Linked DNA regions of Alligator mississippiensis. The protein of the gene in region 1 interacts with the protein of each later gene in a pairwise test. Links are inferred from orthologs where the notes say so. Each region holds a gene or a part of one and is shown in the gene's direction. Other genes may lie near its edges.

Region 1 (7,056 bases):
CTCCTTTGGTGATCACTGCCTCCCTTCATTACCTGCTTCTGCTTCTGTTGTGATCACCGTCTTCCTCTTCCTCCTCTCCCTTCCTCTCCCCCAGCTCCCTGAAGGTAGTCAGGGTCTCCAGGCTAGGTCTTCTCCAGTTTCAGTTTCCTCCTGCCCAACTGGTGGGCAGTGTGGCCAATGGAAATGTGGCAATGGGATGGTGCAGCCCACAGCTGCTCAGAAATTGGACAGCCCTGGATTAATGTATTCATTTTAAAGGCTCTCCCTATAGGGCAGGGATGGACAGAATGGTGGATCCAGCCAGGAACCAAACTCCATTTCCCAGCAACCCCTACTCATGTTGCTGTGGCCCGTTTCCATGAGACCACAGTAGTGGCGGTGCCGTGATAGTATGGGCACAGGGCAGGGCACATTAGGCAGGGACCTGATCCACGGCCGGGGCTGAGATCTGGCAGTGGTGAAAACATGGTCCAGAGGATCCGCTGCTTGCACACCACAGCTCTGGACCACACAGAGCCAGATAGTGGCTCTGCCCCAACTTCAGACCACTCCGTCAGTGCCGTGAGATTCCAGCCCTGGAGCAGCTCCTCGTCCAGCTGCACTCTCTGCCAGTGCTGCTGGAGCCAGTCTTCATGGAAACCCTGGCCATGCACTGTCACAGCACTGCCACTGCTGGGGTCTCCATGGAAACCGGACACAGCAATGTGGGCAGGGGCTGCTGGGAAATGGAGTTTGCCATGGGCCAGATCCAGCCCATGGGCTAGACTTTGCCCACCCCTGCTATAGGGCCCGACCCACTTACTTTAGTGGAAGAAATTAGTTTTTACTGCTTTGGACTTCTGTCCAAGCTGCAGAAACAACAGTTGATGGGGAAGGTGCTGGGTTTTGTGTTGGCTCATGTGTAAGCAGCAGAGCGAGTGGCCAAGATCCAACTGCAAGGGCAGATGCTGTGACTCTGACCCCTTATCCAGACATGGAGCTATTGGCACTTTTGTTTCCGCAATGATTTTCAGAAGGGTAAGACATAGCCCTAGGTGCCTATCCTGCAGTTTAATTACGAGTTCTTTTCTGTAACCAACATGTCCCGATAGCTATCTCAGTACACTCTGCTTCTTCTGTCAAGCATATCTGCTTTTATCTTTGCTTTTATCTGTACTTCTTACTTCTCAGATTTAAAATCCCAAATGCTGAACTTTGTCCTACACATCTGTGGTGTTCCTGACTTTCAGCACTCGCCAGAGTAGGGAAATATACGGCAAAAAAAATTGTTTTAGGTTTGTCCGTAATGTAAGCAAATTGACTTGTGTTGCTTCAAGGTCAAAGTGTAACCATTCAAGCAATTTAATCTGGGGGCATTTTCTAGATCACTAGCTAGTGTTCAGAAATGGCAAAAGACATTAAAGCACAGCTTGCTTTGTTGTATGCAGACCTAGAATACTGTACTTGCTTTAGAGGGCTGGTTATTACTGGCCTGTTAATGAGCTAGGCATTAAGGAGTCCAGTGGAAATGAAACACTGGTGGTGAGATTTTCCATTCCTAGGGCTGGTGGTTAGCAGCAGAAGGACAGGTCACACATTGCTGCGTATCCTGATGTGAACTGAATTAGGTTCAGAAAAAGGTTTTGCCCTTGAAACAATCTCCTTGGTTCCTTTATTTATCTATTTGTTAATGGGAACAGCACAAAGGCATGGGAGGAAATCCATACCCACAATTTCGGGGATCATAGGGGTAGTTTGTTGCCAGTCTGGTATGCAGAGGTTAATTAGTGGGCGTGTTTACACAAGACGCTTACTGTGAGGTAGCCTAATAACACCGAGCAGTAGTATGCCGGTTAAAAACCATGCTAATGAGGTACATACTGCACAGTGTTATTAGGCTACTATGCAGTAACCATCACAAAAAAACCATGTGCCAGCACTACCGCACAGTAGCTGTAGTTACTGCACATTTAGTTAGTACTTCATTAAGGAAGTACTAAACTAAATGGTCAGTAACTACTGAGCATCGATGAATGTGTAGATGCTCCCAATGGCCAGTACTGAATAGGTGCTTTAGCTGGGAAAGACAAGTTCACAGGATAAAAGTTTCTTGATTTGAAAGCCTCCTTTTTGTCTCTCCTGCAGGGGGTGCTTGGCCACAAACAGCTGCTAGTGTGCTTTAGTCATCTCAGTCAAATCCAGTGGGTCTCTGTTGGCCTTGCCACTGTGCAAATGATACCAAAAAGTGCCAGAGAAGCCAGATCCCCAGGGATGAAAGGGAATGTGTCAGAGCAGGTACAGCCCCCCTCCATCTGGCATCCGAGCTCCTGCTGTTTAGCAGTGGAGCCATTTGTCATGTCTGTCTCTTCCTATTCTGATGGCAGCCAGCTCTGCAGGGTGACGTTGTCTCTGCTGGCTCACTCTTAATCTCCCAGAGTCTAGCCCAGTTCTACCTCACCCATTTCAGTGAAGCATCTCTTATGGCTCCAGAGAATTGGAAGGACTCCCTCTCTCACACTGCCAGTGGAGCAGTGGGGGACATCCTGGTCTCTCCTCTGTCCCACAGGCTGTGCAGCCACCTCTTCTCTGGGTTTGCTCCCTGCTCAGTGGGATGAGTAGACAGCAGGTGGAGCCTGCATGCAATGAGGGTACCTGTTGTATTGTGAAGCTGATGTGGGAATGAACCTGGATACAGGTAGAGAAAATGTCTTAACCCAGGAAGTAGACCTGTACAGAGGCTACGTCCTCTATACAGAATTGGCTGCAGTGGCAGAGCGCCAGAGAGTAACACAGGTGTTTCCACCTGGAATGCAGCTTTCTGAAGACAGCTGGCTTGGAGCCAGGTACTTGTACACCAATGTCTTGCTTGATATTTTTTTTCCTTTGAGAAAACTATATTAAAGCTAACATTTGATTTAAATTAATTCCCCCCTCAGTTGCTCCAGACACCCCCATCAAATCCTTTTGCAACTGCCTGCTGTGGGTAGCAATTCTGGGATGTTACCTTTTGTATAGCAGGCTTGGTTCAGCTTTGATTTTCTAGATCTGAAGCCCAGCAGGGCATACTGTGGCAGATCCTCTTAGTCTGGTCTCTTGTAACAAAGGCCAAAGCATGCCCCAGGAATCCTGCTGGAGCCCACGGTTTCTGTTTGGGCCAGAGTGCATGTGCCTGCAAGAGACACCCAAACTGGCCTGAAAGGTTTTCTATCTCAGGGAGCTCACCATGTTCCCAGGTGGGTTGTTCCCCAGGTAGGTTAGTCACCCCTGGCACCTTTCCACACTTTATTTCCAGCTTCCTTTCACCCACCTTCAGCTGCAAGCTGGTGGGTCACACCTCCTTGGCTCCAGTGCTTCACTCAAGGGAAAGCGTCATTTCAACACAGAAAGGAGAGAGGCTTGGGGCTGAAAGTGGGGCAGCAGGGCATGGGGGAGGGGCGGGATACTTTAGAAAAGGGACTTTTAAAAAATTAAAATATATATACATATACATACATACATACACATATATACATATCCTCTATCATAAGCTTTCCATCACACATCTTAAAGCCACATTAAGACACCCGCACTTCCCGTTACAATAAACGCACCCAATCCCCTGCGCACCCACCCTCCACCCTCACCTACCCCAATCGCAGTCCTTTAGTCCAGGCACCGATTTGAGGTTTATATTCTCAGTTCATTCACTGTCGCTGTCGCTTCCGCTGCTGCGGATCCTGTTGCAGCCCTCCGCGCTGCCTCCAGGTCCAGTTGCATCTCTGTCCTCTTGGCTCTCCCTGCCCGCTTCCCCTCCCGGTGCGGGGGTCTTTGAACAACCAGCGCCAGGTGTCGCTTTTCCACATGAAGTTGGCTGAAAGGGACGGGGCGGCCCGGGTATCCGTCCCTCCGCGCCGTGCCCGCCGCAAGCAGCGCGGGGGTCCGGCCCCCTCGGCGGACAGGCTTGCCCGCCCAGGCGGCGCGGCGGAGACGCCCCGGCTCCAAGCCCCGCCCCGCCCCAGCCCCTGCCTGGTGGGGGCCGCGGGGCGGCTGTGGACGCCGCCCCGACGGGGGGCCCCGTGCGTGCCGCCCCTTCCCGCCCCGCCCGGCCCGCGGGCTCATTTCAGCACCGCCCGCCGCAGCCCGGCTCCAGCCAGCGCCGGACCATGAGCAGCCTGCCCGCCGACAGGGACGGCGGCGCCGCCGACGCCAGCCCGCCCGAGGAGGAGGTACCTGCCGCGGGGCGTGGGCGCGGCCGGGGCTGGGGCGCCTTCTGGGCGCGGGGCAGGGCCGAGGAGCGGCCCTTGGCCCGGCTCAGCCCCGGGCAGCCTGGCCCCGCGGCCCTGCCGCGCCGCCACTTCGAAAGCGCCGCCCTTCCGCGGGGGCAGGGGAAGGCAGGACAGGAGAAGCCTCTCCTTGCCTTTAGCCCGTGACATTCTTATTCGGGGAACGTGGCATCCAGATTCGCCTACCTAATTTGTCGTTTGGTTTTCTTAAAATCCCGGTATTGGTATAGCACAGGCTGGGGACCCTGAAGAAGTCCTAAGGATCTCTCAGGCCCCCCTCGGCTCTGTTGCTGCTTGGACCCAGACCTGGGCTGGTGGGTTGGGAGAGAAGTGCAACTTCTCAGACCCGTTTGCGGTTCTTGAAAGGTGGCTTGTTTCCGGGGTCTGAAGACCACTCCGTTGCAGGCGAGGCCAGGAAATCTGTGTGCAGCACGATTCTGCTTAGCCAGTCAAATAACCAGTACCTCCCTTCTCCCCCATTTTTTGGTGATGTCCAGATACACAGTGCAGTGCCCTGGGCTTACAAGAGTCCTAGGAACTGGTATCGTTCTCATGTCCCGCACACTACTAGGTTTCCTGCACATGAATGTATGTGTCTGGCACCCCCTGTGCTGTGAGTGAGATTTCACAGCACAGGAAAAGCATATCAGTGTTATTAGTGTTTAGGCTGGAGGAACTGCCCTCTGGGGAGCAGCTGTGTCTTTGGGGGTCAGCTCAGGGCTGCATGTGGTGACATTGATCTCCCCCAACTCTGCAGGAAAGCTTGGAGGATTGAGGTTTTCTGGTTTGTCATTTCATCCGGGTGGGTGCTCACCAGTTTAAGGAAAAGCAATTGGGTCATTTTGGAACTGGCTCAGCAGCAATGCCTGTAGGCATGCCCATGAATGCCACATGGCCCCAGTGGCTGGAGGGGCACGGCAAGCTCCAGCAGGCAGCAGCAGCGTTGGCAGCAGTGGTAAGCGTGGAGATCCCACAGGCAACTGCGGTGCTGGTGGCAGTGATGGGGTGGTGGTGAGCATTGAGCAGCGGTCAGTGACCACCTGCAGACGTCCATGATCACTGCTGGTGGCGGCCAGTGGTGATCGTGGACCTCCCTCAGAGGCCGCCAGTGGTGTTGGTGGATTCATAGATTCACAGATGTTAGGGTCAGAAGGGACCTCAATAGATCATCAAGTCCAACCCCCTGCATAGGCAGGAAAGAGTGCTGGGTCTAGATGACCCCAGCTAGATACTCATCTAACCTCCTCTTGAAGACCCCCAGGGTAGGGGAGAGCACCACCTCCCTTGGGAGCCCGTTCCAGACCTTGGCCACTCAAACTGTGAAGAAGTTCTTCCTAATGTCCAGTCTAAATCTGCTCTCTGCTAGCTTGTGGCCATTGTTTCTTGTAACCCCTGGGGGCGCCTTGGTGAATAAATACTCACCAATTCCCTTCTGCGCCCCCATGATGAACTTATAGGCAGCCACAAGGACGCCTCTCAACCTTCTCTTGCGGAGGCTGAAAAGGTCCAGTTTCTCTAGTCTCTCCTCGTAGGGCTTGGTCTGCAGGCCCTTGACCATACGAGTTGCCCTTCTCTGGACCTTCTCCAGGTTATCCGCATCCTTCTTGAAGTGTGGCGCCCAGAATTGCACGCAGTACTCCAACTGCAGTCTGACCAGCGCCCTATAGAGGGGAAGTATCACCTCCCTGGACCTATTCGTCATGCATCTGCTGATGCACGATAAAGTGCCATTGGCTTTTCTGATGGCTTTGTGTCACTGCTGACTCATGTTCATCTTGGAGTCCACTAGGACTCCAAGATCCCTTTCCACCTCTGTGCCACCCAGCAGGTCATTCCCTAGGCTGTAGGTGTGCTGGACATTTTTCCTCCCTAGGTGCAGCACTTTGCATTTCTCCTTGTTGAACTGCATCCTGTTGTTTTCTGCCCACTTGTCCAACCTATCCAGGTCTGCCTGCAGCTGTTCCCTGCCCTCCGGCGTGTCCACTTCTCCCCATAGCTTTGTGTCATCTGCAAACTTGGACAGTGTACATTTCACTCCCTCGTCCAAGTCACTGATGAAGACATTAAAGAGTATCGGTCCAAGGACCGAGCCCTGGGGGACCCCACTGCCCACACCCTTCCAGGTCGAAACCGACCCATCCACCACGACTCTCTGGGTGCGACCCTCTAGCCAATTCGCCACCCACCGGACTGTGTAGTCATCCACGTCACAGCCTCTTAACTTGTTCACCAGTATGGGGTGGGATACCGTATCGAAGGCCTGGATGGAGGGGGGTGTCAAGCAGCGACCGCCCACAGGCACCACCAGCAGTGTCAGCGGTTGCCTTTTTGTAGGGGGTGCACCGCCACGCTCGGGGGGTGCACGTGCACCCGCATACGCATCACATGCCTATACACGTGGGCATGTCTATACACGTGTACACATGTCCACATGTGCTACTGGTGCATCTCCAGGGAAGGCACAGTCTTACCAAAGTACTTGAATATTCACATTTAGCATAATCTTATTATGGGGATTCACAAGTCTCTTCCTAGAGCAGTGGTCTCCAACCTTTTTATGGTGAAGATCACTTTTTGGCATCCCAGGATCTATTGCACCCCCCTGCCTACCCTGCCCTGCTCCTAGCTTCCATCAGTTCACTGGAAAATTCCAGGTCCAGGTCCTTTTCCTGGTGTGGCAGTCTGTACTAAATGCCTACCATCAAGTCCCCTTCTCCTCCATATCTTTACCCACAGGGTCTCAAGTCGCCCTTCTCCTGAACCAATCTGGGACTCCAAGGAAGCATACTGCTCCTTTTATATAGAGAGCACACCT
Region 2 (7,509 bases), on another chromosome or scaffold:
TCCGCCCTGCCCGGCCCCGCAGGTGGTGGACATCATGCGGGTGAACGTGGACAAAGTGCTGGAGCGGGACCAGAAGCTGTCGGAGCTGGATGACCGCGCGGACGCTCTCCAGGCTGGCGCCTCCCAGTTTGAGACCAGCGCCGCCAAGCTCAAGCGCAAGTACTGGTGGAAGAACCTCAAGGTACGGCCCCGCTGCAGCCCCTCGCTCCTGACTTGCAGCCCCCTGCCCCCCTAGCCCTGCCAGTGCCCCTCACTCCCGACTCAGCCCCGTTTCTTCCTGCTGCACTCACGGTCTCTCTCCTGCAGATGATGATCATCCTGGGGGTGATATGCGCCATCATCCTCATCATCATCATCGGTGAGTCCTGCTGGGGGAGGAGGGGGGTGGTCCAGGAAGCCCTGGCAGGGGCCCCAATGCTGGCTGCATCTCAGACCTGGGCCAGGGTCTGTTATACTTGGCTGTGACCCACCTCAGAGCTGACTGCATCTCACCCTTGACTCAGGGGCTGTTATACTCGGCCTGACCCACCCCAGAGCCAGTTGCATCTCAACCCTTAGTCACAGCCCTTTTATACATAGTCAGGACCCACCCCAGAGCCGGCTGCATCAAACCCTGGGTCAGGGGCTGTCATACTCAGCCATGACTTGCCCCAGAGCCAGCTGCATCTCAACCCTGGGTCACAGCCCTGTTATACTCAGCCAGGACCCACCCCAGACCCAGCTGCATGTACCTCAGCCCTGCCCCGTGGAGCTGACGGCTGCCCTCTGCTTGCAGTGTACTTCAGCACCTAGAGGCCCCGTGTGGTGCCGGCCCAGCCTGGCCCGGCCGTCTCTTCCAGCCCTCGTGCGTGTGCGTGCGTGTGCGTGTGCCCCCTCCGCGCCCCCCCTCCCCCCCTGGCCGTCTGTACATACCGGGTTATTTATACACACATAGAGCTGCTCTATTTTGTCCGTTTGTAGATTTATTAATAGGTTTTTAGGTGTCCCTCCCCTCCCCTGCTGTGTTTTTAATTGTCTTTTAATTGCCCCGCCCCCCCAGCCACCCCCCTAGTGGGGGAGGGGGTTCCATGATACTGCCCCCCTTGTCCCACCTCAGAGGTGGCTGCATCTCCTGCCGGGCCGCGGTCTCCTCCCCATCCCCCCAGCTTCTGTGACATTCCTGATTAGACCAAGGGGCGTGGGGGAAGCCCCCCCTGCACCCCACCCCCTTAATGGGGGCATTTTCTTCCTGCCACACAGATCTAGCCTGCCCAAACTACCCCTTTTAGAGGGGTCACATTCCACCCCCCCCCCCCGGTGTTGGGGGGCTGGCCTGGCTTGGGGGGGTCCCCTGTTAATCCTTTGGTGGCCAATGTCAGGGGGCACTAGGGTCCCTGGTGGCCAGCAGGGGGTGCCCCAATCCTGCCCCCCTTCGTGTGTTGTGGTGGTGAGTGCCCCCCCCCTAGCAGATGTCAGATGTGACTCGTGACTTTGTCCCTGTGATGACTTCGCTGGACCCGCGCTCCGGGGGGGCTGAGCCCAGGGGCATCCCCGCCGCTGCTGCGTGGAGGGACGTGGCACTGGGGACCCCCTGGGCAGGCGGAGGGAAAGGGGGAGAGGGGGGCTGGGCCCCCAGCAGGGGGGTGGGTGTCACTGTCACCCCCCTGCTCTTGGGGCCCCCCTCAGCAGGCAGGCAGGCAGGGGCGGAGGAGCCGGGAGCGACGTGATGCTGTGAAAATGTACAATAAATTGGTGTCCTGTGGAGAGCACTGCCTCTGGTCCCTCTGTCCAGCCCACCTGGGGATGCTGCTGCCTCAGCCAGAGGTGGCAGCATTGGGGCCTACCCTGGCAGCACCATCACTGTCCTCCAACTACAGCTGGGGCCTGCTCCAGCCTCAGGAAGGGGTCCCTGCCCTCTGCCTAGGTTTGGGGGAAGCCTTTGAATTGATCTGGACTCCCTTCAACTCCTGGAGAACCCAGGCGTCCGGGCCCCTCACGCACGGAACCCAGGCGTCCGGGCCCCTCACGCACGGAACCCAGGCAGCCAGGATTCCCAGGTGTCCAGGATTTACATGTGCATACATGGAATGCAGGTGTGCGGGACTTGCGCACGTTCACATGGAACCCAGGTGTGCGGGATTTTGTGCACACAGAACCCCGGCGTCTGGGACTCTCATGCGCGTACAAGCATAGACATGGGATCCAGGCCTCTGGGCTTCTCATACGTAGAACCCAGGCAGCTGGCATTCACACATGCAAGCACACCCAGAACCCAGCGTGACCGGATGCCTAGGTCCGGGGGTGGGGGGGGTTGGTTGGTTGGTGCTGAGGCCTGGACAGCTGGATCCTGCGCATGGGGGGAAGCTGGTGCTCAGATCTCAGGCGTCGGGAATAGTCACACGCACGTGCACGTGGAACCTAGGAGTTAAGGCTTCTCACATGCACAGAACCCAAGTGTCAGGGACTGTCACACACATACACTTGCACATTGAACCCAAGCATCCGGGATTCACACACCCATGGAAGTGCAGGGTCCAGGGCACAGAGAACTCAGGCGTCTGGGCTCCCCACCTAGGGCTGTGGACCAGCCACTCTCACCCTGGCGAGCTGGGGGTGGGGGGAGCGGGCAGGGAGAGCTGGGACACCTGGGTTCCCAGTCCAGGTTGGTGGGTGGGAGTTGGGACCCCTGGGGGAGTGGGGGGCTGGGGCCTGGATGCCTGAGGGGGCGGGGAGGGCAGTTGGGGGAGGTCCTGGCTGCCTGCCCTGGGGAGGAAGTCGGGGCCAGGACTCCTGAGTCCCTGGAGTTGGGGGCCTAGGTCGCGCGGGGGGAGGGGGTGTGATGAGGCCTGGACACCTGGATCGTGCGCGTCGGGGGAGCTGGTGCCCGGGCTAGGGGGAGGGGGGGGGCGGACGCCTGAGCTCTCGAGTGCGGCCCGCCTCCGCCACGCGCAAACCTAGACACCCGAGGGGCCACTTCCGCCCCCAGCTTCCGCTTCCGTTTCCACCCCTGCTTCGTGGCCGCGTGAGCAGGGCCGCACGTGTCCCCACCACCTGCCCCGCGGGCCAATCGGCGGCCGGGGGCGGGGCCCCAGCGGGCCCGGGCCAATGGGCGGCGGGCTGAGGCGGGGCCTGCTCACGCGAGCTCCTGCATGCTGCTCGGCACCGGCCAATGGGGGCGAAGGGGGCGAAGCCAACGGCCGCCCCGGGATTCGGCCAATGAGCGCCGAGGGGGGAGGGGTCGGCGCGCGGTGGCGGCCAATGAGGGCGCGGGGGGATGCAGGGGGTGAAGCTAAGCTCCATATGACGGCAGGGCTACTACCTTCGGACTGAGCGGGGCCACGTGTGGGCCTCATTTCCCAGGGGACAGGGCCTCCTTACCTAGTGGGGGGCGGGGCTCCACGTGAGGGGGCGGGGCCAACCGGCGGTGGGGGGTGGGTCTCTGGGTTCCTGGACTGGAGGGGGGGCGGTGCCGGGAGCCCCGCTTACGTCACCGGGGGGCAAGGGGGCCGGCGGCTCTGACGTCATCGCTCTTCCCCCCCCGCCCCCCAGGTGTCCGGGGTCCCAGCCCCGCCGAAAACCCAGGCATCCGCGCTCCCTCCCGAGAGCCGTGGCCGGGGTGCGGGCTCAGCGCCCGGCGCTGTACGTGGCGCGTCCAGTTCCCACGGCAGCAGCGCACACAGTAGGGCAGAGGGCGCGGGCCGTGGCCTTCCACGTGCCGCCCCCCGCCCCGCCCCGCCCCGATGTTCCAGCCCTGGCTGGGACACCCTGTCCCGGCACCGCCGGCGGGGCAGGGCAGGGCAGGGCCGGCCAGGGCACGACGCCCGCCCGCGCCTCCGCTGGGCCAGCCCGCGCGACCCCTCGGCCTGCGCTGTGCCGGCCTATGTGAGCCCTGGGGCTGTGGGGCGCTGGGGGTCCTGATGTCCCCCCACACCCCGTGTCCCACATCGGGATCACGTCCCAGGTCGGGAACAAATTAGCACGCGGGGCAGGGCGCCAGGAGGGAGCGGCTGCGGTTGGCGCGGCCACGCCGGGAACACGATGTTCTTGGCACCCGCAGCGGCGGTGCGCGAACAGGCCCTGGCGCCGTGCCCGCCCGCCCGCCGCCCCGCCCCGCCCCGCCCCGCGCAGCCGCCAGCCAGGCTCGGCCGCGCACCAGGGCCCCGGCGAGGGGCCGGGCCCAGTGCTTAGAGCCGGGGAGGCGTACAGCCAAATGCTTAGAGCCGGGGGGGGGTGCACCCAGTGGTTAGAGCCGGGGGGGGGGGTGCACCCAGTGGTTAGAGCGGGGGGGGTGCACCCAGTGGTTAGAGCCGGGGGGGGGGGTGCACCCAGTGGTTAGAGCGGGGGGGGTGCAACCCAGTGGTTGGGGGGGGGTGGGTGCATCCGAGTGGTTAGAGCGGGGCGGGGGGGGGTGCAACCTGGGGGGTGGGCGAGGACCCAGCGGAAGCAGCAGCCCCCCCTCGCTGCCATGCCAACGCCTGGCATCAGCAGCAACCCCCCCCCCCCTCGTCTTTCCTCAATGACGCTGGGCTCATTGCTATGCAACCTGCCCCTCTCCCATTGGCCGCCGGCTCAGCCAATGAGGGCGGCCCCGAGACCTGGGGCGGCAGCACCACAGTCCACGTGCGGCCTGTGTAAGTGGTGCTGACATCAGCCTGGCGTTACACAACGCGGGGGCCAGCGTCGCACCCGCCGCCTGCTCGCCTCACTGCACCCGTCGCTCCCTTGGCGCAAGGACGCTCGGGCCCCGACTCCGCCACCCCCGCGCTCGTCTGAGCCCCCCGGCCCCTGCCGCGGCCCCCGAGCCAGAGGCCATCCACCGCTGAGGCCCCCGGACCTGGGGACACCGTGCCTGCCTTGTGGACCCTGCTCCGGTGCCCTGTAACAGGGCACCGTGCTGGTGCTACGTGTCCGGGACCCCTGAGGAGGCAGCCCCGCGCTCAGGGCCCCCGAGGACACCCACTCCCTCCACACCTGGGACCCCCAAAGAATCAGCTCCATTCCCATGTGACCAGGACCCCCGAGGACGCAGCTCCATCCCTGTGTGACGGGACCCCCCAGGACACACCCCCTCACAGCCGGGACCCCCGAAGAATCGGCTCCATCCCTGTGTGACGGGATCCCTGAGGAAACCCCCGCACCTGGGACTGCTGAGGACTCAGCTCCGGCCTCGTGTGACAGGCCCCTGGGGACACCTGCATCCCGGACCCCCACCTCCATCTCTGTGTGACCGGACCCCTGGGGACACAGCCCCACACCTGGGACCTCTGAGGACACCCCCCTGCCCCCAGGACACCAAGGACCATCCCCGTGTGACGGGACCCCTGAGGACATCCCGCCCACCTGGGACCCCCGAAGAATCATCTCCATCCCCGTGCACTCAGGCCCCCCCCGCGGACACTGCTCCAGCCCTGTGACCCCCGGAGAGGCAGCGCCAACCTCTGGGCCAGCCCCGAGAGCACCCCGTGAGTATCCCGGGTGCCTCAGCACCACCCCCCTTGCGCCCGCGGCGGGGGATGACACACGCCTGTTTGTTCCTGGGTACAGGATGTTCTTTCGGCGCAGACCCAGCCTTCCGCGTTGCTCTGTTTGCTGCCTGCGGTTGGGGCGGGGGAGGAGGTGGGGAGGTGGGGCGGCCGCCCAGCCCAAGGGATTGGGGCACGCTCAGGTCCTGCTGGCTGAGTTTGGGGGCTCTGCTGCCTTGCTGGGCAGGAGCCCGTCACTTTGCGGGGGGGTTTCCAGGTTGGCACCAGCAGCAGGATGTGCCCCCCCCCCGTGCTACCCAAGCTAGTGGCCTTGTCCTCTGCCTCTCATGCCTGTCTTGCTTTGTACATGCTTCTCACACGCATGTTGGGGGTGGGGGGGGGTTAGTGCTGAAGCAAGAGCCTGGCCACAGGTTGGGGCTGGCTGGCGAGTGAGCGGGGGGCGTGTAGTGGTGTGGATGCATGTGCATGGGCTTTCATGAGGCATGTCCCTGGGGTCTGGCTGCATGCAGGGAACTCCCCCCCACCCGGCTTGTGGACAGCTGGGACTCTCTGTGTATACATTGGTAGGGCCCCCTCCCCCCAGTGTCTTCGTCCATGTCAGCAGGGGTCTTGGTCTCTGTGTACACACTGGCAGGGTTCCCCCACCCCATCTGTGTGCATCAGCAGGGCCTTCTGCCCTTTGTGTACGTGCTGCAGGGGCCCCTGATCTTTGAGTATGTGTCAGCAGGGGCCCCTGGTTTCTGTGTATGCATCAGTAGGGGGCCCCAGTGTCTGTGCATGACAGGGATCCCCAGTCTCTGTGTACGGGTCAGTAGGGTCCCCCCTATATCTGTGTGCATGTCAGCAGGGGCCCACGGTGTCTGTACCTGTCAGGTGTCCCCAGTGTCTTTGTACATGTCAGCAGGCTCTCCCGCCCTTGTCTGTGTGCATGTCAGCAGGGGCCCCCCAGTCTCTGGGTCTCTGATGGCAGGGGCCCCCAGTGTCTGTGTGCATGTCAGCAGGGCCTCTGATCTCTGTGTACATCCTGGCACAGGCCCCCCAGTCTCTCGTGTTTGTGCCAGCAGGCCCCCGCCCCAGCGTCTCTGCATGTCAGCAGGGTCCCTGGTCTCTAGGTCTCTGCTGGCAGGGCCCCCCCGTCTTTGTGTATGCGCCAGCAGGACTCCCCCTGGTCTCTGCATATGATTTGGCAGGGACCCTGTAAGGCCCCCCCGTCTCGGCATCTGTGCCTGCAGGGCCCCCTCCGGTCTCCGAGCCTATGTCTTTCTGTGTGCCCGGGCCTGGAGTCACGTCTCTCCAACGGCCCCGCGTGCGTGTGCGTGGGTAGGGTCCCTGTGCACACTGTTGGCAGGGCCGGCCCCGCCCCCCCCGGTCTGTAGAGACACTGGCAGGGCCATGCCCATGTGTGTGCTGGTACCGATCCTCCTCTTCCTCCTCCTCCTGGTCCTGGCAAAAGCTGCCCCAGGGTTTTCCTGTCCCCGGCACCCTGCCAGCCCCTTCCTGCTTCGCTTCACACGCCCAGGCTGCAGGACCCAGGCCAGGCCAGTCAAAGGGGCAGGGTGGGGGCAGGGAGCTCTTGGCAGCAGGACAGGGGTGGGGGGGCAACCCCTGGGCAGAGGGCTGAGCCCCACAGGCAGTGCAGGGAGCTAACAATAGCCCGGCTTTGCGCTCAGAATAGCCATCTCGAGGGTAATTAGGGAGCTGGGGTGGGGGGAGGGGGGCACAATCCAGATGGTCCTGGCCACGTGGTGCCCACCTGGCTTAGGGCCAAGGGGCTGCACGTGCCACACCATGAGGAGGGACCGGACGCCTGGTTCTCTGGCTGCATGTGTTAAAGTGGACATGGAGGGAGGGGAGTCAAGACGCCTGGGTTTTCTTCTGGGAGGGGTCTGCGGGGTGGGGGCTGAGGGGGTTTGAGCCAGGACTCCTGGGTTCTCTGCCAGACTCCCTCCACCGTGTGGGGACTTGTTGGGCCATCCTGGGACCTGCTCCATGTACAAGCACCGCATGGGGAACAGCCGGGCACCTCTCCCAGCCTCAGTTTCCCCTG
Region 3 (6,962 bases), on another chromosome or scaffold:
GATGGTACCAATGACAGCCATGTCATCTGTCCAGGCCCTAGGACAGTGCTGGGTACAATAGCAACACTTGAAGTAGAGAGCTTGTAAGAAGTGTTGCATGAGATTGAAGAGCACTTCGGAAGGAGGAGGTCCTCAAAAGGCTGTGGGGTAGCTGCTCCGCTATTTGGACACAGCATTATGTGAATGGGGATCTGCCTGGTGACAGGAACAAGGAAGGAAATGGCCCTGGGGACTGAGGTTTTCATCTGGCAGGCTGCTGGGAGCTGTGGCTACTTCCCGTTTCGGTCAGTGCATTGAGTCCCGTTTGATATCTTCGTGTCCTGAGAGCTGTGTAATTACAAAGCCCCTGTCAGCCTGCCAGGGCAGCTCTGCTCAGCTGCAATCTATAATCCTCCTTCTGAACTGTGTGAAGCATCCTCTCTCAAATCCAGTCATTAGTCTTCTGTCAGACAAACTGGGAACCTCAAGAGAGATTTCTTCAGAATAACCCCACTGCAGCCAAAGCTGCGGCAGCGACAGGCCCCTATAGTTATGTCAAAATGACAATCAGCTTTGGGCAGAGGTTGGTCATGAACTTTTCATGGCTTACTGGGCCCCTGATACCATGAAAACAAAATCAAAAAAATCAACTGCTTCTGCACTACGCCTTTAGCCCACGGGCAGGGAACACTGTAAGAACCCAGATGTCTGCTCTCTGAGCCTGGATGAGAGTCTCCTGCAGCCCAGCTCCAAACAGCCCCAGAAGGGGCATCCGGATATGTGAGCTCACAGCCCATCTCCCACTTCTCTGCGTGCCATTCCTGGGTCACGTACGCGCACATTTGCACGCGCTCCCTCCCCAGACAAAATGAACGACGGCTACTCAAGCCTTTGCCTCCCTGTCACGCAGCTAATTCCCTTTAATCCTCCCCTGCAGTCTCTGCAGAAGTGACCTGCGAGTGGGCTCAGTGCTGTGCCTGTTTCTGCCGCTCTAACGTGCAGCTAATCCTGGGGTGGCTGGGATCACACTAACAATCCCCCAAGCTTGACCAGGAGCGCTTCTAAATTGCTCTCCAGGAGCACAGGCAGCAATATGGATCCGATTACAGGAGAAGTGGGCTGCCTGGCCTCTGCTCTGTTCATAATGAAGAGTAATCCTAGAAAAACATGTTGCCAATTATGCTTCAATTGAACCCAGATAGCGACGCTTAGTGAAAGCCCAAAAAGGAATGAATTTAGATGGTGAATTCCTTTCTCATGAAGAAGGAGGTCTCTCCACGGCTGGCTCACGCTCTGTTTGTGGCTGGACGGGATGAGGGCTGGTGCTGGAATAACTCCGCTCCATCCCATGGAAATAGAAAGCAGGCCTTGGGAGACATTCCTCTGGCTATGCTGGGATGACTAACTACTGGATCTCCGCGGAGAAGAGAGTAGCGGAGGTCGCTCTCAAAGTAATAACACGACGCTCATCCTAGGGATGAGGTGTGCATCGTGATTGAAAAGATATATGTATCTTATTTAGTTAGTCTGTAAAGATGCACGTCGCCCCTGCCTTCTGGCTGACTTCAGACTAAGACAAGCCGTCCAGCCAGTGGTCCCTACCATTCATTTGGACCTGGCCTCTTTCCTCCGCAACAGCAAAGCCATGCCGATTAGCTCAAAGAGATGCCACGAAGTCTCTGTGTAGCAGCAAACCTTCCCTCGCCCTCGTTTTATTGTCACCCTGCGTTAAAGGGTTTTACAAATGTCTTGTGCCTACCCATTTACTATTGCTATTATAAGCCCAACTGCAGAGGGAGGAAGAATGGATAACAGATGCATTGAGAAGGCAGGGTAGACTTGCACCTTATGCACTAACCCGAGCGAGTGTGTGTGCGTGTGCACACGTGTGTGGATCTATACGTACCTACATCTAAAGTAAGCTTCAGCTCATGAAAGCTTGTGCTAGGTATATATTGACTTTGGTTAGACTAGCAGGTACAAATCCTACCCTGTCTTCTACTTGGCTTCAGACGAACACAGCCAACTACATCTCTCATTTAGAAGCCCCATAAAAGAGCTTGTCTATAAATCCTAAGACACTATATTTAAAGTTTGGTGCCCTGTGGCCTCTCAAGTCTAGTCTCAGCCTCCTTGTTCTGCTAGATAGTGAGGAATCCCAGCTTCTCTCCATTGGAACAAAGCCCTGGTTCTTTTGCTCATTCATCAAAGCCAAGCTTTTTCCCAGGGAAGGTGTGGTTTGAAGGAATATTTGACTCCAAATTTCTTTCAAAAAGGATTAAAGGTTTACACATTCTGGCTCAAAATGACTTTTTATGTTGAAATATAAGTTAATGATGGCACTTTTTAAAAAAAGTCCAAGAAGAGACATTTCAGAAATAAAAATTGGGTTGATTTTTTTTTCCTTTCCCCTAAATGTTTGGCTCATGAAAATTTTTGAGGTTTCAGTTTTTGTATCCTTCTGTGGGAACGGAGTTTTATTTTGACCATTGCAAAAACCATCACAGAATGGAAAAACCATTTCCTACTCAGCTCTACCGAATGTTGCATTGATCAGAGGGGCAGGATACGTAAGTGGAGGGGAAATGCCCTATTTGTCGGGGGGTGGAAAGTAGCAATGTGCTGGCAGATTGTTTTGCCTGAATTGCAACTGGCTGAAAAGCAGTTTATGGACTGGAAATGTTAGAGGTCCTGGCAGAATCAGTGATCAGAGTGCAGGCCATGGAGCCAAAGATAGATGGAGAAAAGGAATTCATCACCTGGCTCCGTGATTTCTCACAGGAGAGAATAGACCATGGTTTGTCATGCGGGCTGTGTTGGCATGAGCTGTGCGCAGCTGTTTTCATCACATATGATGAGCCACTCGTGAAGAGTCTGTGCAAAGGGCACTGGAAAAGGAAAAGCTTTTGTACCCACACACTGGGGTGTATGTCTCATTGTTGGTCATGTTTTCAACCTGTATGGCAATATTTTTCTGTTATAAACCTCCTTTTCATTAGCAAACACACAGCAGCTGGTTGGGGATTGTTATAGTTGGTCAGGATCCTCAGGAGCAGAGGCTCAGACCCTCAAAGGTGTAGGTGCCTAATTCCCACTGAAATGGGTGGCATTTGGGCACCCAAGTAAAATTACTGTCACGTGCCTTTGGGCTGCACCCAGGTGTTTTCTGAGGTCACTGAATGAGCCAGAAAATGGGAAATGTGCATGGATGTTAAAATAGCCACGCTTTAAACAAACACCTTCAAATGTGGCTGCATCTAAAAGGGACTTATTTGGTAGCTGTGTTGGTCTGAGACGAAAAGAAATGCAAAAATCTAGCGCTCTTGGTTCAGAGATGAGACCTTTTAAGGCGTTGTCTCTGGACCAAGAGTTCTTGATTTTTGCATTTCTTTTTCACTGCATCTAAAACGCACCGGCAGCCCCCTGACGACGAGCAGGGTCTGGCGCTTACAACGCTGTGCAAAGGGAAACCACCGTCCCGGAGGGCAGATGCCACAGCGGCTTGGACAGGAGCTGACTTGGCCTGGTCCGTGCAGTACACCCGAGCTGACCTGCAGCTCGCTGGGGTGAAGGCCAGGACCGCCTGATCCCCCAAAGACAGCCCTGGGCATCTGCAAGCGTTCAGCTGGCCTGTGCCCTCCTTCCCCTTGGCCTCTGCCCATTGACTAATCCCAGTCAATGGCCCTTTGAAAACGCTTTCTCAAACAGTCAAGAGCAGCAGCTAAGCTGGTTTCCATCTGAATCATAAGTCGGCGCAGCGGCGCTGGAGCGCCCAGCAGACATGTGTGTGTGCGTGTGGGGCTGGATGTTGATTTTAGCCTGAAACAACTCCAGGCTTTATCAGGCCCATCTCTTTCCCACGGTTTTCTGTTGCCAGTGAGGTCACTGGTCCCTTTAAACCGCTGCTGAGACCAATCACCAGGCGGGGGTGGGCGAGGGGAGAGGGGGACAGGAGACAGTTCACACAGCCTGCTCCTTTTACAGGAAGACTTTGGGCTTGCAACCAGCCTGGGGGGAGGGATGAGAACCTGGGAAAGCCGGAGCCGCCGAGTAATCCGTCACTCCTGGGAGATGTCTCATTAACCCATTAACCAGGGAGGTTAAAGACGTGCTGAGCAGGGAGAGGGGGTGGGCAGGGAAGCAGGGGAGGCGGCGGCGGCGGCTCTGCCCAGCGCAGCGCAGCGCAGCGCAGCGCAGCGCTCGCCTCTCCCGCGGCCGGGCTCAGCCGGGAGCGCCCCAGGATGAAGCGGCTGGGCGAGGAGAGCTCGTCGGACACCGAGTCGGACGGCACCATCGATGTGGGCAGGGAGGAGGAGTACAGGTGGGCCGGGGCCGGGGCCGGGCCGGGGGAGAGGGGCCGCTCTGCCACTGCCGCGCGGGGCGCGCCTTGCCCGCGTCCCCTTGCCCCCCGCTCGCCGCACCCCAGCCCCGCGGCGACACCAGGGGATCGGCCCCCGGGGGGGTCCAGCGCCTCTGTCCGGGCTGCCGGATGCGTGCGCAGGGACCCCCAGGCTCTCCATCTGCAGAGGTCACAACCCCGAGGCCGATCCCTTTTATCAGACCCGCTAAGAAATGGCAAAAAAATATAACACCGCAACAACCACAAACAATTCTCTTTTCTCCGCAAGGTTTCAGGCTTGCGTGAGCCGGCGGAGATCTGTTTGCGGTTCCTTAGTGGGTCTGATGAAAGGGATCAGCTCAGAACCAAGGAGAATAGAGTTTTTTGCATTTCTTTTTTGGCTCGGGCCAGCACGGCTACCCAGCGCGTGCGTCCCTGAAACGACCCCAGGGCTGCATTGATGGAAGAGCAAAAATTGCCCCTAAGGGAGCGGGGTGCAGGACGGCACGGGGAGTGCCCGCTGCCAGGACTCCCCCAGGGACTTTGGGCCAGTCTGGCTCTCTGCTGTACAGGGAGCCCCGGCTGTGAGGTGTCATTTGTTCCTGCCCAAGATGATCTCGGGAGGTCCCTTCCAGCTCCTAACATCTATGAATATTTACAGCTGTGCTTCTCCCGCTGGGTGCCTCGAAGGCCTTCAGGGTGCTGCGGGCTGCCACGCCGCGTTGGCACGGTGGGGTGCGCAACCGCGACGGGCAAGATTAAACGCAGGATTTGAAACGGGGATCAAGAGCTCCCTGCCCCGCTGTGGTCTCTCTGTTCTTTGCAACAGAAGAGCTGCTCTGTTATTTTTCCGTAGGCAAAAAAAGAGTGAAAACCGAGAGTTGGCCTTCTCCGAGGGGGCCTCGAGCCTAACGAGGTTGAGAACCACTGGTTTACAGAGTGGTCGGGGGGCCTGGAGGGGGGAGAGATGTGACTACACATGTACAAAGTGTTGTCTCTCTTCATTAAATAGCCACCAGAACAATATTAGGAAGCCTGACCAGAAGAAATGCATGCATCCTAACCCTCCAAAAACTCAGCCTAATTCTCCATAAATCATTCACATTTATCAGTGCTAATGAAACCTTTTAGAAAGAAGTCGAGTCTGGCAAAGCAGGGTCTAGGATTGCAGTTCATAAATCTGCATTGCATTCAAGCAGTACGGGGGGGTCTGCTTCGCTGTGAATGGAGTTTCACTGCATTTGCCTTTGCGGTGAGTTAGTTCTGCTCGTGAGGCACAAGGCGCGCTATGCCATGTATATACATAGCACCTTGCGCTGTCCGTATTGGGCACGTGCTGTCATGCAGGTTTATAAATGATATATCGACTGTGTTTTGGATAAGCGTAATCCTGCTTCAAGCAGGGGGTAGATTCTGACCTCTGGAGGCCCCTTCCAGACCAACTTCTCTGTGAGTCTGTGAGATGCTGAGATGAATGTAGGCGTTGACACACAAATGCAGCAAATCCATATGCAGAAATCACACCTAGCAGATGCTCAAACAGCATAAAGACAACAGGGGTGTGAGACACTATTCAGTAGAAAGATGGGTTATCGTGTATAAGAAAAATATTGTGGGAACACTTGGCACGTGCCTAACAAAAATGTATTTTTAATGGACCAAGCTTGGGCTGTCTTTTGGCCTGCTGTGCAGAGGACGCTGTGCCTGTAGAAACTTTTTGAAGTGTGAAAATGCTTTGCCAAACTGAAAAATACTTCACTTTGGTAGAGTGAGCTTATCACCCTCTTCCCAGACTTGTATTTCTTGCTTGCTGTTCAAGCGCCCCGGGAGTTTTGTGCTTGGATTTTAGCATCCTCGCTCCTGATTTCCCAAGCGATGGAAATAGGCTGGCAGAGCACTGTTGTTCTGGGAACTGAGGAGCTGTGGTGGAAAGATGAACCACCTCTAGCTGCCCAGGACCATGGAAGATCATTCAAGCGGAGGGTTTGTGTAGCTGTCCTGTCAAATGTACCGCGTCCAGGAGGTTTTACTGTGTCTTCCCAGCTGGCTGCCATTACAAAGGATATCCCTCCTTTGCAATCCAAACGTGCCCACAGTGTCCTTATCCTACTCTTTTTATCACGCATTGTACAAGAGATACTCAGCACGGTGACACTAGGTTGATAGACTACGTTGCTTATACCAGAAAAACTCGATCTGACCTCTTTCTCTCATCTTTACCTGCTCTGTCTTGCTTCCTGCACTGTTACTATGGGTCTTTTGTCTCCTCCTTGGATCTCAGACACAGAAAAATGTGAAGGTCACCCTCCCTCCGTTTTTCCCATTGTAACTGTCTTTTCCTTGAGCCCCTGCATTGCAGCCTGGGACTCGCTGGTGGTGACAGAACAGTGCCCTCAAGGGATGTTCAGCAGCAGGCAGTGGTCGCCGCTGGGAAATGTTGCCTCCCATCCCACCTGCTCCCCCAGAGCTGAGTGGCACCTTTGTAGGGCTATAACACCTCTTCTTTTGGGGAATAACTGGTTTGATTAGTTTCAAAGTTTACTCTTCTGCTGTTTCCCTTAATCGAGGATACTGTCCTGCGCAACCCAGTCACTGTGGGTCTATCGCATGGCAGGAGAAACAAGCCTGCAGCTCCCAGAGGCAT
Region 4 (7,914 bases), on another chromosome or scaffold:
GGGACCCGCTGGGACAAGATCGTGCTGAAGAAATGGTGAGTGTGGGACTGGGTCAGGTTTGGGCAGCCCAAGGGCTCCTGGCGGCTGCCAGCTTTGGCCCCAGCAGGTAAGTTCCTCCTTTTGTCCTACCCAGGGAGGTTGCCCAAGTCCTGGGTGTTTTTTGATGGGCCCCGGGTTTGATCCAGTCTTTAACTGTAACCATTTCCTTGTGGTGCTGACTGCAGCTGCTCCCCCAGAAGCGCGTGTCCATCAAGGCCGTGGGCTGTGACATGTTGGGGGAAGAGGGGGTTGCTGTGAGGGAGATTTTTTATTAGAAGTTGAAACAAAAACGATGGGTTAGCAGGAGTTGAAATACAGTTAAAACCTTTAGCAAACATTGGATTGAAGTCTTTCTATACCCTGAACTAGAGCTCTTTGTATTTATCCTGTAGGTGAAATGAAGGCTTCTTGTCTTGTAACAGCACCTAGGGTGTCTCTTCCCTTCCATGCTTTTTGGGTTTGATGATTGCTGGCTATGAAAACATTTTGCTTATGAAACTCTGGCCTTCATATCTCAACTGCTCACTTTTTTTTTTATTAAATAATTACTATTGGGAAATATTGATAATACAACAGTAGTCCCTTTATTGGCTCCATTTCCTTTTATTGAACCTTGTAACGAGCTTAGGTGTTTTAACTTCCTTTCAAACTCTTGCAGGTACACCATTTTCAAGGATCACGTTTCACTGGGAGACTGTATCCTTAAGCATCAGAGTGGTCTAGGTAAAATGCATTTTAAAGACATCAGCATCTTTTAAAGCAAACCTTTTAGAAAACAGGTGTCACTCTCTAAGTACTTGAGAGAGAGACACATTGCATGTACACAGTCAGACAGCACCCCTTCCTTATCTGATATTGCTGCTTGTCACTAATGAGATGTCTTGTTTATGTTCTTGGCCACTGATTAATGGTAACGGGTCAGTCATGTAGCACAGTGGTGATTATTTAGGAAATCTCTTGGTACAAACACAAAAAACCCTTTGGATTAACTTCCCAGTTTGTTGCTTCAGACATTAGCACTTACAAGCAGCACATGAGTCTCAGACTCTTTTTTGTGAGGCCAGCAGTTTATCCAGGTTGTGACATGGAATAAGAAGAATCATGTTGCTGAGAACTTGTGCACTTATCTAAGAAGTTTCCTGCTGTTGTTGATTTTTGAATCGTTGGTCTGACAGATGTTCATATCTAACACCCTCTGTTTGTATTTAAATATATTTCCATGGGAATTCCCTTAACTTTTACTCTTCAGATGAAATCCATGATGGCATGAACCTGGAGCTATACTATCAGTAGTTTGGACTTGAGCTGCAATTGTATATGGCAGGCAGCACACTTTCTGCTTTCCTTCTAATATTAAACATGTCTATATATTTCCTTATTTAGTGTAAAGTGCAAGTGAAAAGCTCCAGCTGTGCATATAGTTTAGTCAGAGCTATTTGGCTTTGGCAATAACACAGGCAGCAAACATATAACAAAATTGCTTATGTTCTTAAATTTGTGTTTGTAATAAATGTTTCCTGACAGTTGCAGTGTCCTGTTCATGGCTTTAAGGCAGACAAAATCTCTTTCTTGGTAACTTCCACAGCAAACCTAATTAACATAGCTAGTAGAAGACAGCCTTGAGCTTTCTGAAATAACATGAAAGCTGCTCTATCGCCATCTCCTAGGCTAGACTCATTTTTGGTTGAGAATTGAAAACCCAGAGCAAATGCATTTAATTCAACTTAGAAGCAGTCTGGGTTTTTGTTTGTTTTTTTGGGGGAGGGGAGGGGAGTGGTAATTTATTCTCAACAGAAACTTCAGTGCAGTGGTTAAGGTATGATCTAGACTGACAAATGCAAAAAGCAGTTCCCATTACATGCCTCTAATGGAGCTGCTGACCATTGTGTGTTACGCACTATTGTTTTTCAATGATACTTCAAAAAAAAATCCCACTCTGCACTGCTCATTTAACACAATCGATGTGAATTGCCTTGGGATCCCAGCCAAAGCAACAAGATTGGGAGTGAGACTGGGATGAATGAGAGGAATCCATTACAAAACACTTTAAAAGGAGTATTTCAATGTGTGTGCAGACCCCCAAACCCACTCTTTCATTTTACTGAGCTTATTTCTGTGCTGCTCAGTAATGTGTGTCACGTGCAGTAGAGCAGCTGCCTGCAGTTAATAAGCATGTTTAATCAGCTGAGATTGAAGTTCAGGGCAGCAGCAGGAGATGATTTTGTCTTGATGTTTTCCAGAATTAAATGGCCAATGAGAGAAAGCAGCCTCTCTGTGCATTTCTGAGTCAGCCTAAGCACAGAGGCAGGGATGTTAAATGAGACTCTCTCTTCACAACAGCTGTTCTCTTTCTTATTTAAAGCTTTCCACTGACAAATATGGATGTTTATGGTGCCTTTTAAGTAATTTATTTTCCTGTTGGTGAAAGTAGTGAGTCTTGGACTGTTTCAGAGTCCTTTTAACCAGAAGGCCCAGTGAGGCAAGCTTTCCTAATCATGATATTCCTCAACCCTAACTTTGGAGATGGGTTAAGCAGGAAGTTCAGGTATTCTTCTGAGATCAACATGAGTGCAGCCTCCTGTGGACATGCAGCATTTGTTCAATTGGATCACGGCTTAGAACAGGAAGCAGAGAATTTTGTACCTAAAACTGCAGGGGGAAATTAGGAACTGCCTGGACTGGAATTGAGGCAGGACACCTGCTTTTACTTTTGTATCTTATGAAAAATTGCCAAAAGGAATGTCATAGCTTCGATACGGTATCCCACCCCATACTGGTGAACAAGTTAAGAGGCTGTGATGTGGATGACTGCACAGTCTGGTGGGTGGCGAATTGGCTAGAGGGTCGCACCCAAAGAGTCGTGGTGGATGGGTCGGTCTCGACCTGGAAGGGTGTGGGCAGTGGGGTCCCGCAGGGTTTGGTCCTTGGACCGATACTCTTTAATGTCTTCATCAGCGACTTGGACGAGGGAGTGAAATGTACTCTGTCCAAGTTTGCAGATGACACAAAGCTATGGGGAGAAGTGGACACACCGGAGGGCAGGGAACAGCTGCAGGCAGACCTGGATAGGTTGCACAAGTGGGCAGAAAACAACAGGATGCAGTTCAACAAGGAGAAATGCAAAGTGCTGCACCTAGGGAGGAAAAATGTCCAGCACACCTACAGCCTAGGGAATGACCTGCTGGGTGGCACAGAGGTGGAAAGGGATCTTGGAGTCCTAGTGGACTCCAAGATGAACATGAGCCGGCAGTGTGACGAAGCCATCAGAAAAGCCAATGGCACTTTATCGTGCATCAGCAGATGCATGACAAATAGGTCCAGGGAGGTGATACTTCCCCTCTATCGGGCATTGGTCAGACTGCAGTTGGAGTACTGCGTGCAATTCTGGGTGCCACACTTCAAGAAGGATGTGGATAACCTGGAGAGGGTCCAGAGAAGGGCAACTCGTATGGTCAAGGGCCTGCAGACCAAGTCCTACGAGGAGAGACTAGAGAAACTGGACCTTTTCAGCCTCCGCAAGAGAAGGTTGAGAGGCGACCTTGTGGCTGCCTATAAGTTCATCACGGGGGCACAGAAGGGAATAGGTGAGGATTTATTCACCAAGGCGCCCCCGGGGGTTACAAGAAACAATGGCCACAAGCTAGCAGAGAGCAGATTTAGACTAGACATTAGGAAGAACTTCTTCACAGTTCGAGTGGCCAAGGTCTGGAACGGGCTCCCAAGGGAGGTGGTGCTCTCCTCTACCCTGGGGGTCTTCAAGAGGAGGTTAGATGAGTATCTAGCTGGGGTCATCTAGACCCAGCACTCTTTCCTGCTTATGCAGGAGGTCAGACTTGATGATCTATTGAAGTCCCTTCCGACTAACATCTATGAATCTAGCTAGAAAAGGTGCATGTCACTAGGAAGGCAGCAGGTGCAGAGCTACTAGCGACTCAGAGGGGAAACTATCAAAATGCAAATTTCTGCAGCTCCCCCCACCACAGGGAGCAGCCAGTTGGCTCCAGCCTGATCAATACAATGAATCAGAAGGCATGTACATTTGCACTTTACACCTCATAGATTAAATCAAAAATCCATAAACTTCATCTCTTGCTGAGCAAAGCTTGTGCACCTATGATTGCATCTGTGCATTTAGTCTGGGGAAGATGCAAACCTCCCTGGCCTTCCGACCTGCACGGCTCTCCTAGAGACAGTGAAGGACAGGCTGGAGAGGGTCCTTCATACTTGAACCTTAGTTTAAGTAACAGCAGGAGCTAGTAAGTGGTAGTCATCGGGACAGCCCGTTTTGCTCCCGTAGGCCTGGCTGGCCCCTTGCAGCACCTGCTGCAGCCTGCTCTTGCTTCTGACTGCTGCAAATCTCCCCTGCCTTCGCCTGCGTCTCGCCGCGGCCCAACCTGGGCGGCTTGGCGATGGGGTCCAGGCCGTATCCAGAGCCCAGGCCGCGAGAGGCACCCGGCCTGCACAGCACCAGCGCCTGCTCCGTGGCTCTGGGTCATTTGCATTTTGCAAGGACGGTCAATTAGCCTCCTGGGGGCGCCCCTGCGCGCTCCCGCGGTTAAGGCACCCCCGACCCCGGCTGGGAACCGGGGCACCTGGCACCGCCTGCACTGAGGCCCCGAGGGCTCCCCGGCACTCCTCAGGCGTTCCGCAACGCCCCTTGTCCCTCCCCGGCCGCCGTCGACATTCGAGCTACCAGAACCTGAATCTCTTCCGAGATTATTGCGGCCTAGCGCTCCGAGTCAATCAGGGCTGGGAGGGAAGGGGAGTGTGTTCTCCACCAATGAGCGACCTGGAGGTGGGACCACGATCCCCTCTGAGCCAATGGCCGTTCGCAGCATCCTGCCCCGGGGCCTTCCTCTAGCCAATGGGTGGCAGCGCGTGCGGCAGCGGGGAAGAGGCTGGGAGGAGGTGCCGCGCGCAGGGAAGATGGCGGAGGAGGAGAAGCTGCCTGCGGGCTGGGAGAAGCGCATGAGCCGCAGCTCAGGTACAGCGGCGCGGTCGGGCGTTCGGCCGCGCGGGGCCGGGGCCGGGCGCTGCGGCTGGGGGGCCGCGAGGCCGGGGCGGGCTGGGCCGGGCCCCTGCGGGGCTTGGGAGGGCGGGGCCGGGCTGTGGGGCCGGGCCGCGCCGCTCTGCTCTTGATGGGGCTTGGTGGGTCCTTTGTGGCCCCGGCAGGGCCCGACCCCGCGGTGCCTCGCTCCTTTCCTCGCCTCGTGCGGGGGGAGGGGCCGGGGAGCTGCCCCGCGCCGGCAGGGGGAGAGGTTCTGGGGAGGGATATGCGTCGTGGGGGCGGGGGGGCGGCTCTGGAAAACGCGCGCTGATCCCGGAGCTCCCTCGGGAGCCCAGGCGGGTCTAGGCCCCTCCCCGGCCAAGCAGAGGTTTGTCCCCTTTGTCGTGAGACTAGAATTGCCTTTTGCTCCTGCCCCCCCTCCCGGTGTACAGAGACCCGGCCGTTGTCGGGGTTTTCGTCCAGTGATTGCAGTGCCCCAGAGCTCTGGACCCGGGCTGGCACCTCTTAGGATGTCGGAGGTGCTCACAATTTGTTTAGTCAGAGTCTGAGCTCCTGCCAGTGCATGAATGAGTGGACCTCATCCTGCGGGTTGGGGACCCTTTACAGTTGGTGCTCCAGCAGTGCTGGGACATTGCTTTAGCTGTCTTGATCTCAGAGCAGTGTCCCCAAACTCTTGGCTGCTTCTGGGAAAGCCTGCCCTTTCCTGATAAAGAAAGGGCTGATTTGTTTTGGAGGAGTGTCTTCCTCACTTCCAGCCTGCAAAGGTCAGTTCAGGGTCAGGGGTCCCTTGTTTGTGTAACACCCAGCATAGTTAGAGGTGATTGCTGCTTTGAAAACTGTGCCCTGTTAACTGAAGGATCTGTTTATTAGGATACTGTTACCCCCTAAATGTATCTAAATACATAGGCAGGCAAGGTTCTTTGAGTAGATGTGATGTTTTTTATTAGACCAACTGAGTACTCAATGGGTCTAATGAAAGATACCACATTTACTCAAAAAACCTTGCCTGTCTATGACCTTAGACCAACACAGCTACAACCAAAAACCCGGTCTAAATAGATAGGGATTTTTGCCATGCTTTGTGCTCTCAGTTGCAAGCTGGATTGGAATGAAACACAATCCCCCTGTGTCAGAAACTCGGCACCGTTCACCTTCGCTGCAGGGGTAAAATGGGCAGAGTTCCACTATGTCGCTGTGCTGCTTCTGAAGATGTGTTGGTGTCATGTGACTCAGGAAAGCTGCAGGCACTTGCTGCTTCCATAAGAATAATCGGTGCTTTACAAATGAGCCAGCCAGCACTTAAGCTGCTGCTGTTTTGGGAAGGTTTCAAGAGTTTTTGACATAGACCCTGATCCCACTTTCACTGAAGTAAAAGTGACTTGCCCAACTTTGGAAAGGGAGATGGTGTCAAGAGTCTGGTTTTGAGTAGAGCAGCTGCTTTGCTCAGGGCATCTTTGTTTCTCACTAGAAAACCTTGGTAGAGAGTTCTAATAGACTGAAATCTGTAATGCTGAGACAGCCTGTTATTATGGGGATGTTAAGTATTCCCAGCCTCTGCACTGATTCTGCAGTGAGCTGACATCCACATTTTCACCCACCTGCAGAAATCCAGAATTTATCTGCTGCGATAAGCAAGAGGCTATTGCTGTGGATCTTCTAAAGACCTGGTTTTCTTTTCCTTCTTGTTTCTAGGCCGTGTGTATTACTTCAACCACATTACGAATGCCAGCCAATGGGAGCGCCCCAGCGGAGGTGGGAAAAATGGCCAGGGGGAGCCGGCCAAAGTGCGCTGCTCACATCTTTTGGTGAAACACAACCAGTCCAGAAGGCCCTCATCATGGAGGCAGGAAAAGATCACACGGACCAAAGATGAGGCACTGGAGCTTATAAATGGCAAGTAAAAGCAGGAGGCAGATTGATGTTATTGTGAGGGAAAGTCATGTTAAGGCCAAAAATGAGCACAGAAATAAGTGGCTTATTGGCCTGAACTCTCTAAATAAAAGTTTTTTGAGGCAAGTGGTTTGAACATGGACTTTCGTGTAGCACAGCCACTTGGAGAAACACTTTTGCTGCATGATTTGCTGATCATGACTAAATGACTTAGGAATAGAACCCTCCCTCCCCCTTCCATCCTCATGCCAGTTTCCCCCTTTATGTTTTTGTAATGTTGTCAGAGGCTTGTTTGTATTTTCTTTGTAAATGTATATTTTTATATTAAAAAATAAAGCAATTATTTGATGCTAAAACAAGTGCTCCTTAAACATCTTCCTTTTTTTGTTTAATATTTATTTGCCTGTTTGTCCTGGTGGCAGTTACTGTAAATTTTGATGAATCTCTGCCTGGGACTGAACCCCAGGTATAAACATCTTGAATATCTGTGGACAAGTAAATTTCTTGGGAGTGAGGGAATTGCATGCCTTTCCTGCTGTATATGGGACCCATCACAAGATACATCTTCCTTTGCAGCGCCAGCAATAGTTTCTAACTATCCTGTTTCCTAATCAGTGAATTTGGGCCTTGTGGGGCAGAATTCTAATTCTGGTTTACTGTTGGCACTCTTCATTGAGTTCGGTGCAAGGGTCAGAGGATCTGTGGTGAAAGTCTCCTGACTTTGCACCATGGCCTGTGTTCCAATCTATAGCAGTCAGTCTTGACTTGTTATGAAAATGAGTTAATATTCTGTGAAGTGCTTTGAAGTTGTAGGCAGACAAGGTTCCTTGGGTGAATTTGATATCTTTTATTAGACCAACCCAAATGGTTGGAGAATAGTTATTAAGCAAGCTTTCGGGTTCAAAAACCCTTCGTCAGGTTTTTGAACCCGAAAGCTTGCTTAATAACTATTCTCCAACCATTTGGGTTGGTCTAAT

The links.
Region 2: the proteins of RBPMS (region 1) and PER1 interact in a two-hybrid assay, tested with the Homo sapiens proteins (2 studies listed by BioGRID). The link is inferred for Alligator mississippiensis from reciprocal best matches to the Homo sapiens genes RBPMS and PER1.
Region 3: the proteins of RBPMS (region 1) and HEYL interact in binary tests that used the Homo sapiens proteins (3 or more experiments, as listed by UniProt). The two-hybrid records come from large-scale screens. The link is inferred for Alligator mississippiensis from reciprocal best matches to the Homo sapiens genes RBPMS and HEYL.
Region 4: the proteins of RBPMS (region 1) and PIN1 interact in binary tests that used the Homo sapiens proteins (3 or more experiments, as listed by UniProt). The two-hybrid records come from large-scale screens. The link is inferred for Alligator mississippiensis from reciprocal best matches to the Homo sapiens genes RBPMS and PIN1.

What each region holds. Positions count from the first base shown.
Region 1 is NC_081825.1:169,286,539-169,293,594, reverse strand, and holds the start of RBPMS (RNA-binding protein with multiple splicing), read left to right. Parts: upstream 1-4,037; 5' UTR 4,038-4,121; coding exon 4,122-4,184; intron 4,185-7,056.
Region 2 is NC_081838.1:25,070,075-25,077,583, forward strand, and holds the start of PER1 (period circadian protein homolog 1), read left to right. Parts: upstream 1-4,507; 5' UTR 4,508-5,441; intron 5,442-7,509. Other genes in the region: VAMP2 (vesicle-associated membrane protein 2), read left to right, coding at 23-181, 307-358, 776-792. UniProt on the Homo sapiens protein: Transcriptional repressor which forms a core component of the circadian clock.
Region 3 is NC_081829.1:4,798,422-4,805,383, forward strand, and holds the start of HEYL (hairy/enhancer-of-split related with YRPW motif-like protein), read left to right. Parts: upstream 1-3,957; 5' UTR 3,958-4,220; coding exon 4,221-4,300; intron 4,301-6,962. UniProt on the Homo sapiens protein: Downstream effector of Notch signaling which may be required for cardiovascular development. Transcriptional repressor which binds preferentially to the canonical E box sequence 5'-CACGTG-3'.
Region 4 is NC_081831.1:22,016,043-22,023,956, forward strand, and holds the start of PIN1 (peptidyl-prolyl cis-trans isomerase NIMA-interacting 1), read left to right. Parts: upstream 1-4,913; 5' UTR 4,914-4,965; coding exon 4,966-5,023; intron 5,024-6,739; coding exon 6,740-6,940; intron 6,941-7,914. Other genes in the region: UBL5 (ubiquitin-like protein 5), read left to right, coding at 1-35, 698-735, 1,289-1,332. UniProt on the Homo sapiens protein: Peptidyl-prolyl cis/trans isomerase (PPIase) that binds to and isomerizes specific phosphorylated Ser/Thr-Pro (pSer/Thr-Pro) motifs.